Linked DNA regions of Macaca mulatta. The protein of the gene in region 1 purifies or fractionates together with the protein of each later gene. This does not show direct contact. Links are inferred from orthologs where the notes say so. Each region holds a gene or a part of one and is shown on either strand. Other genes may lie near its edges.

Region 1 (4,281 bases):
ATATGTGTGTGTGTATATATATATCAAAGCATATATATGAGTATTTATTCTTTTAAAAAACAAATGAGGACAGAGTCTATATACTGTTTCATGCCTTGCTTTTTTCTGCTTAACAACTACAACTTGGAGACAGTTTCATGTATGACCATAGAGTCTTTTGTCTTTCTTTTTAATGACTGCATACTAGTCTGTAGTATGGTTGTAGCACAAGTTATTTAGCCTAAACTTCCAGTTTTTTTGTCTCATGACTTTTTTTGTCAGTGGAAACCCTCTTCTACTAGTCACTCTGGTACTAAACCTTGGAGTAATATCTAACCTTTTTGGTATCTAGTAAATCCTGTCAATTCTCCCTTTTTGATGTTTTTCCTATTTGCTCATTCTTTTTCATTCTCATTGCTGCTTCCCTGGTTTAGGCCTTATCATCTCCTATGGCGTTTCCTTATCTCCAAATTCTCTATCTCTGCACATCTTGCACACTTGCCCTTCACCAAATTTCCTAACGCCCACATTTTGATGTGTCACTCCTCTTAAAAACCTCTGTGTCTTCCCATTCGTTGTGTTATGTAACAACTCAAGCAATGATCAATAAATCTGATTTTTAAATTGTAACTGAGGAGTTCATGAAATGCAGATGCCTGGATCAGAATCTCCAGATGTATGACCGTTAGTCTGTATTAAAAAAAAAAAAAAAGTTTCCAGGTGCTTCTGTTGCAGTTGGTTGTTGGATCAGTGGAACCATTAGAACAAAGTCCACATTTCTCAGCCCAGTATTTAAGGCTCCTCGCAATTTCTCTCCAACATGCCTTTCCAGACCCATCCCTTACTACTACTTCTTTACACATCAGTGCAAATGAAATTCTTTTCGGCCGTCTGGATTCTCCTCACAACTTCCGGTTATGCCTTTTAACCTCCGAAACTCAGTCTCTTTATGAAACTTTGGCAACCAGAAGAGATCTCTGAACTCCATTCTCTGTACTGGCTCACAGTTCACGGTTTTGAATTCTCCAGCTCCCCGTGTCTCCCCCACTAGATTGTAAGGCTTCTGTCAGACATTAAGTTACTTTATTATTCGCACCTACAGAGTCTTTGCACTTTGTGACAAAGGTGGTAAACAAGAATTTGTAGGCTTAGTGCCACTGCCTGACTTGATCATCACTGTTTACGCAGTGTTGTTAACTGTTTTTAGCTTACAGTGGGCTTTCAACAAGTATTTGCGGATCCAATGTATGAATGCAATGTATGAATGCACGGAATCCAACCTAGCATTTCCCAGAGAACTACAAATCCCAGCGGACATTACGCAGAACGCCGACGGACGCGGTGACGCAAGGGGGCGTGCCGAGCCTGAGGGAGGGGTCGGCCTGCGGGTAGCCAGAGGCTGGGGCGGCTGTGGAGCCTGGGGTGGAAGAGGGAGTGTGGGGCAGCGAAAAGGTGAGCCGAGCTGACGGAGGGGACGCGCTGCGCGGCTCCCCCAGTCTATGGAGCGGGGTAAGATGGCGGAGGCGGAGAGCCTGGAGACAGCGGCAGAGCACGAGCGGATCCTGCGAGAGATCGAGAGCACTGACACGGCCTGCATCGGGCCCACGCTCAGGTACCCCGGGTGCCGGGGCCACCGAAGGGCGGGAACGGGCGGGACGGGGCAGGCTCCTCTGGGTCCGGGCTCCGGCCGGCTGTCTCCATGGCCGGCGCTGGCCTCTCCCTTGGGAGAGACCCTGCGTTCCGGGCGAGGCGGTCTCCCTTCGCAGCCCCGACGCGGGGTCCCTTCGCGGCGCCCCATAGCCCAGTGACTCAGGAGGCTCCCGCTGTCTCCCTCGGGGCTGGAGCAGCCTTCGTTCTCCCTCCGAGGCTAGTCTGGCGCTGGGGAACGAGCGGGCGCCCGACAGATGGTGGTGGCTCCCGTCAGATCTTCTCCCTGGGGACATCACCCTTCTCCCTCCGACTCCAACTCCGTCCTGCCCTAGACAGGAGTCCTGCTCTTCAGATAACACAGAATTTCACTCCATGATCTGGTGCTCGAAATCAAAGTCTTGCCTCAGAATCACAGCCACTTCTCAGAAACGAGTCCTTGGAAATCCTAGGCCTGGATGGAAGTTCCCCCAACCCGCGCCCCTCTCCTGGGAGCCGCTGCTCCTTTATCCCTGCTTCCTTATTACGAGGACGACCCTCGCCCACGGTGCAGCCTCCTCATCGCTGGGGAAAATTGACCCTGCTGCCGCCTCCAAGTTACCATTTCTTTTTTTTTTTGCACGCACATCTCCATTTTATTTGGAGATGTCAAAAGAAATCCCGACTTACCTCAACTTATTTAACAAATTTAGGTAGCACTTGTTACATAAAGTGCAAGACGTTGTAAACAGTGATTTTACAAATGCAACTTATTTAAGCCACAAAACAACCGTATTAGGTAGGTTCTATTACTCTCCTTTTACAGATGGGGCGCAGAGAGGTTAAGTGACTTGGCCAAGGTCACAGAGAAAATAAAGTAGGGGACTCAGATTGCTATTCGGGTAGCCTGGATCCAGACACTTAACCACTGTTCTGCCTCAGCTGGAGATTACCGGCTACCCGTACTTCCTGTTGATAATTACTCACTAAGCCTAGTTTTGAACTACTTTCCCCCTTCCCCTCATGTTACTGGTGTCCTAGAACGAACTCAGCCTTATCCCTTACTGTTATGCATTCTGATCTTCAGGCAGCCAATACATAGATAACTATCTTACCCTCCTTGCACAGTCTTGGGTCACTGCCCCTCCCATCAGAAAAGTTATTACTCATTGCTTGCGTTCTCCTGGCGTGAGTTGACTCAGGAAAGACTAATTGAAGGAGGGCAGGTTGGAAACTACTCCTCCTCTCCACCTGCACAGCTTCCTTCTCCAGGACACATTGTTAGCACATTTCTGCCAGTACCACCCCTGGTCATAACTATGGTAGTTTGCCTTTTGTCTCTTTATTTATTAAAAGTAATAGCAAAAACCGCAATTACTTTTGTACCAACCTAATATTCATTTATTGAGACAGGGTCTCCTTTTGTCTCCTAGGCTGCAGCGCAGTGAGGTGATTGTAGCTCACTGCAGCCTTGACTTCCAGAGTTCAGCTCCTCCCACCTAAGCCTCCTGAGTAGCTGGTCCTACAGCTGTGCACCACCACCACACCTGGCTACGTTTTAAACTTTTTGTGGAGATGGGATTTTGCCATGTTGCCTCGGCTGGTCTCAAACTCTTGGGGTCAAATGATCCTCCCACCCCAGCCTCCCAAAGTGTTGGGATTACAGGCATGAGCCACCGTGCCTGGCCCCTTTGTCCTTTAAAGTGACTTTTAGCTCCCTTTTTTGGACCAGTTCTTCCACACAGTTGCCTGTCTCTCCACCAACCCCCATTGCCTTATGATCAGGACCATTGTGCTTCTCTCAATTCTCATTTTCTTTAGCTCTTAAGGGTCAATGATCCTATACTTTCCTACATTTTCCTGTATACTTAAAATCATCTCTAGATTACTTAAAATACCTAATATAATGGTAAATACCATGTAAATATATGTTATACTGTATTGTTTAGGTAATAATGACAAGACAAATGTCTGTAGCATGTTTAGTACAGATGCAACCATCCTTTTTTTTTTTGAGACAGGGTCTCACTCTGTTGCTCAGGCTGGAGTGCAGTGGCACAATCACTGCAGTCACTGCTCACTGCAGCCTTGACCGCCTGGTGATTCTCCCCTCAGCCTCCTGAGTAGCTGGGACTACAGGCGTGTGCCACCATACCTGGCTAATTTTTAATATTTTATACAGAGGTGGGGTTTCACCGTGTTGCCCAGATTGGTCTTAAATTCCTGGGTTCAAGCAATCCACCTGCTTTAGCCTCCCAAAGTGTTGGGATTACAGGTGTGAGCCACTGCACCCGGCCACTGTCCCTTTATTTTTTCTCTTAAAACTTTGATTGAAGAGGTTGGTTGAACCTGCAGATACCGAGGGTCAACTGTATATACATTACGATTTAAATATAAGTTACCCAGTCTCCCTAAAACTTGTTTCATTGATATTATTGAGTTTTTTCCACTGAAAAGTGGGGTTTTGTGTAGGTAGATGGATTAAGAGATCTTTTGCCCTAAGGGGACACTGTAAAAAAAAAAGTTTGAGACTCAATACCAGTTTTACTTGCTTTTCTTGACTTCCTATATGATTATTACGGGCTTATCATTTTTGGTCTTAACTTTTTTTTTTTTTTTTTTTTTTTTTAGCAGATTACACTAAATCTTACTATCAGACCCAGGGTTTATTCACTT
Region 2 (4,356 bases), on another chromosome or scaffold:
AGTATCTGAATCCACACACCAGCTAGTTTCAAGAAAGAACTCTTTTGACTAAAACTTACCCTAAAACCAATTTTCCCAACGCTTTTCTTTTTCCCAAATAGTCCAACGTTTTGAGGAGAAATAAATGAGGCAGGGTGTTTTATACTGCACTGTACCCTTTAGGAAACCTTTTAGTGAACTGGGAAAATTTTCACAACATAAACTCTATGTTTATAGATATTATTACTCTGCTGTATAATATATACTGTGCGGAAAAAAAAAAGAAGAAAGAAAACACTAGCCTGGGCAACATGGTAAAACCCCATCTCTACAAAAAATACAAAAATTAGCTGGGTATGGTGGTGCCAGCCTGTGGTTCCAGCTACATGGGAGGCTGAGGTGAGAGGATTGCCTGGGCCTGGGAGGTCAAGGCTGCAGTTAGTTGTGACGTTGCCACTGTACTCCAGCCTGGGCAACAGGGTGAGACCCTGTCTCAAAAAAAAAAAAAAAAAACCAAAAAGTGTTTTATCAAAGGATGAAACTGAAATGCTATAGTGTATAGTGTGACCATAATTTCAGAAGAGAATCAGCATAATTTAAAAGGATAGCTAGCATACTATATGTTTTAATAATTCCAGTATTTTTGTTATTTGGGCTTAATTTAACTTCTTTTCCTCTTTTTGATTTTTGTATTCTAAGAGGGCACTTTTAATTTTCAAGTTGTGTTTGAAACTATAAAGAGTATGCTAATACAACTTAATATAAATATAAATAATATATAAGCGCTCTCTCTATATATATACATACATATAAACAGACCCAAGCATTAGACCACTGATGTTGTACTTTCAGGATTCACACGAATAAGTCTAGATGCATTCCTCAGATCTTGGAGTTGCTTGGCAGGTTTCCCCACACCTTCTTCAAACCTTTTCTCCACCACAGGGAGGACTGTTTCATATAAGAAGGATGCATTCTGTCTGATAAAAGCTTTCTTCTCTGGATCCTGCTCACATCGAAGACTATAATCCACATGCTGAACAGCAACCAAAATGATTTCCACCAGGCTCTCCAAAAGTACCATGTGCAGCTCTGGGAAATACAGCTTCAGAGCCTCTTCCAAGAAGCCCATGGTCTGTTTGGTGAAAGCAACCACTGTGTAACTTAGGTTCACCCAGCAGTCATGCCCTGTGTACTGCTCAAAGTTACTTACCCCACAGCTTTTCATCTCTTCTTTGAGCTTCCCCAGGGCTTCTGGCGTCATCAAGTTCATCCTTCTCCACATCTCTTCAGAGTTGCGATGTTTAGTGGCTTCAATGATGATTTCTTTGTAACTGTGCAAGGCCCCTTGGATGTCTTTCACCAGAAGGGCATGGATGATGAAGGTGAGGTCCAGTCCGATATCACCCAGTTGCTGGCAATGCTCCTTAGCCACTTTTACACACTCAGCTGCTGTTGAGAGGCTCTCCTTACTATCAAACACCTGCTTGCTGAAAGCATCCACGAACATGCCCATGGCTGATCTTGCCCAGACCACAAAGGCGGAGTAGCAGCCGCTGTCAGTGCCTGCAAAATCAATCTCAAATTCTCTTGCAGTCTCAAGAAGGCTGGTAAAGAAGACATGGCACAGCTTATGAATATAGAGTAAAGTGGCGCCTTCAATGCGAAGCTGACGAATTGCTGTATGAACAGCGGCTGCCCTGTTTCTCAAAAATAGCTCACAGGCCTTCGTGCACTGGCCCAGCCGGATCAGTTGCGAAACTGCTCTGCGAGTAGCCTTGGGACCACCTCTCAGGGAACGATCTGGGGAGAGTTCGAAAACCAGCACCTCAGTGAGCTGTCGAACTCGCTCCTCCACTTTGGCCCTTAGTTCTTTTACAGGAGGTGGGCTAGGCTTATCTTCCAGGTAATGGTTCAATTTATCCAGCAGGTCAACAGCCCCTTCAAAGTCCCTCTGCGCAATGCAGACATCCAGGTCTTCAGGTAACTCCTGGATCCATTCCATGGAGAGGTCCACGTTCTCTTCCTCTACCTCAGGAACAGCTGGCTCTTCTTCTTCGTCATCCTCAAATGGGTTAGTGGCCTTGGAAGTCACTTGGGGTGGCCCTCGAGGGGCCGCTGCCTCCTCCTGCTCCCTTCGCCTTTTCTCACTGAGGGCTCTCTTGGTCTCCTCCAGCACTTCCAGCCACTCTCGTTTTATTTTAGCATTTTCGGCCTGGAAAATACGGCTCTCGGGGAACATAAGCAGCTTGAACATGTCCTTCATGGGCGGGTTGTCCTTGACATTGACTACGGCCAAACCATCTAGGGAATAGAGAGCGTTGTAGCGATACATCCCCCGCCGCTGCGGCAGCCAGGTAGCCACCAACAAACAATCGTTCATGAGAAAGCCGTGCACCCGCTGCAGTTGGGCCATGTGGTCGGCATCGTATTCCACTAGGTCCCCGTTGTACACCAGGTACTGTCCCGGCGTCTCCAGCAAATGCCTGCAGCCTTCCACCTTCTCAAGCAGGGTGGTGAGAGTGCGCTGCTTTCCTTCCTCGCCTGGACCGGAGCCGTCGCGGGAGGCGCCACCGGGGGTGGAGAAAAAACCGGCCTGGCCTCGGAGGTGGTCTCGGCCCCCCGCCCCACCGACTCCCTCCTCCCCGCCAGACGCGGCAGCGGCTCCGGCGGCAGCTGCGGCAGGCAGCAACGTAAGCGGGATGCTCTCCAGGCTGCTCTTCTGCTCCGTCAGCAGGTGGCTGAGCTGGTACATCTCGCTCTCCAGGTAGGAGATCTCACGGGCCGTCTCTATGAACTGCCGGTAGTTCTGGTAGACGTTGCGCTTCAGGTTCTGCGCCGTCTCCTCCGCCAGCGCCTGGATGCGCTGCCGGTGCTCCTGGAGGTCCCGGTCCCCATCCGACTGCTGCGAGAGCTGCTTCACGTACAGCCGCGCCTCAAAACCCCCTGACTCCAGCTGCCGACGCAGGCGGCTCGCCCCACTGTCCGACATCGCCATCGCCATTTCCGTCCGGGTCTCACGCACTCACTGTCACTATCGGCGCCGCAGCCGCCGCGGCTGTCTACACCCACCCAAGACCCACCGAGCTCCTGGGCTGAGGAAGCAGGAATTGGAACAAGACGAGTGCGCCTGCGCCGGGTCTGAGCGTCAGACACTGCGCCTGCGCAAGGGGCCAGGCGCAGACATTGCGCCTGCGCAGGAATGCCATCAGTTAAGGCGCATGCGCCGGAGGAGCTAGTGCGGAAGTGAGTGGAGAGGCCGAGAGCAATTTGAGTACTGCGCATGAACCGAGCGTGACGTTGAGGTTTGAAATAACCGGCAAAGAGTAAAGGCTGGAACTAGCTTCCTGAAAGCTTCGTAGGGCCGGTGCCCTGTGAGCCCAGGTTCTGCGCCCACTAGGAGGTGTCGTGCTGACTGCTTGTTTTAAAGCCCTAGAATCTTGGCTTCGGCGTTTGGGGTAAGCGCCGTTCTCGTTCACGTTCTCTTTCTCAAGCGAGTTTCCGCGAACTCTCGCGGGATTGACTGGCCGTCTCGAGAGCCGGTATCTCCTAGGAGCTAGTCCTGGTCCTCCGCTAGGCGGCTTGGGGTCGCAGCCTAACTCGGAGCCAGCCTGACACCGGCGGATCCCGCCTGTGATCCTGGCAACGATGGACGATGACCTGATGTTGGCCCTGCGGCTTCAGGAGGAGTGGAACTTGCAGGAGGCGGAGCGCGATCAGGCCCAGGAGTCCCTGTCGCTAGTGGACGCGTCGTGGGAGTTGGTGGACCCCACACCGGACTTGCAGGCCCTGTTTGTTCAGTTTAACGACCAGTTCTTCTGGGGCCAGCTGGAGGCCGTCGAGGTGAAGTGGAGCGTGCGAATGACCCTGTGAGTTCCGAGCCCCGCTGGGGAAAGAGGCGGGACTGGCAGTTCTCCTGCAGCCCCCGGTCCTGGTCTTCTCTCCTTTCTCTGGTCCGACGGTCCCAGGGGGCATTAAATGAGGGGGGAGTCTGGTTTTGGACCTGGCAATTCCTGCCTTGGCGTATTTCTCTTTTTCTTACCTTTTCTCCCACTCGAAAAATAAGAAAGCTGTGTAGACCCCACCGCCACGGTTGGACTCAGGGCCCTAACGAGAAAAGAGATTTGTGTTTGAATCTCACTAAACTTGAAAATAACAAGTTCCTGATTTGCCTTATGATAGTGCTGTAGGACCCTGAAGGGAAAAGCAACCAAATCTGCCCCTAAGAAAGTGCTGAGGACGCAGAGTAACCTCCAAAGGATGTGCGTTCCCCTCCTCTCTTTCCCGTTAGGAACCCACTTTAGTGAGCTCGTGTGTTGCAGTGGGGATCTTCAGTGATGCTTTTAAAACGATTCTTTTTCTACATGCTAAATTTGA

The links.
Region 2: the proteins of EXOC6B (region 1) and EXOC8 purify together in Homo sapiens (affinity purification with mass spectrometry; 3 studies listed by BioGRID and IntAct, counting the BioPlex papers as one, with this or other methods). This does not show direct contact. The link is inferred for Macaca mulatta from reciprocal best matches to the Homo sapiens genes EXOC6B and EXOC8.

Annotation. Positions count from the first base shown.
Region 1 is NC_133418.1:51,918,243-51,922,523, forward strand, and holds the start of EXOC6B (exocyst complex component 6B), read left to right. Parts: upstream 1-1,355; 5' UTR 1,356-1,478; coding exon 1,479-1,591; intron 1,592-1,900; exon of another isoform or gene 1,901-3,094; intron 3,095-4,281. UniProt on the Homo sapiens protein: Component of the exocyst complex involved in the docking of exocytic vesicles with fusion sites on the plasma membrane.
Region 2 is NC_133406.1:17,695,429-17,699,784, reverse strand, and holds EXOC8 (exocyst complex component 8), read right to left. Parts: upstream 3,074-4,356; 5' UTR 2,984-3,073; coding exon 806-2,983; 3' UTR 477-805; downstream 1-476. Other genes in the region: DNA-dependent metalloprotease SPRTN, read left to right, coding at 3,628-3,848. UniProt on the Homo sapiens protein: Component of the exocyst complex involved in the docking of exocytic vesicles with fusion sites on the plasma membrane.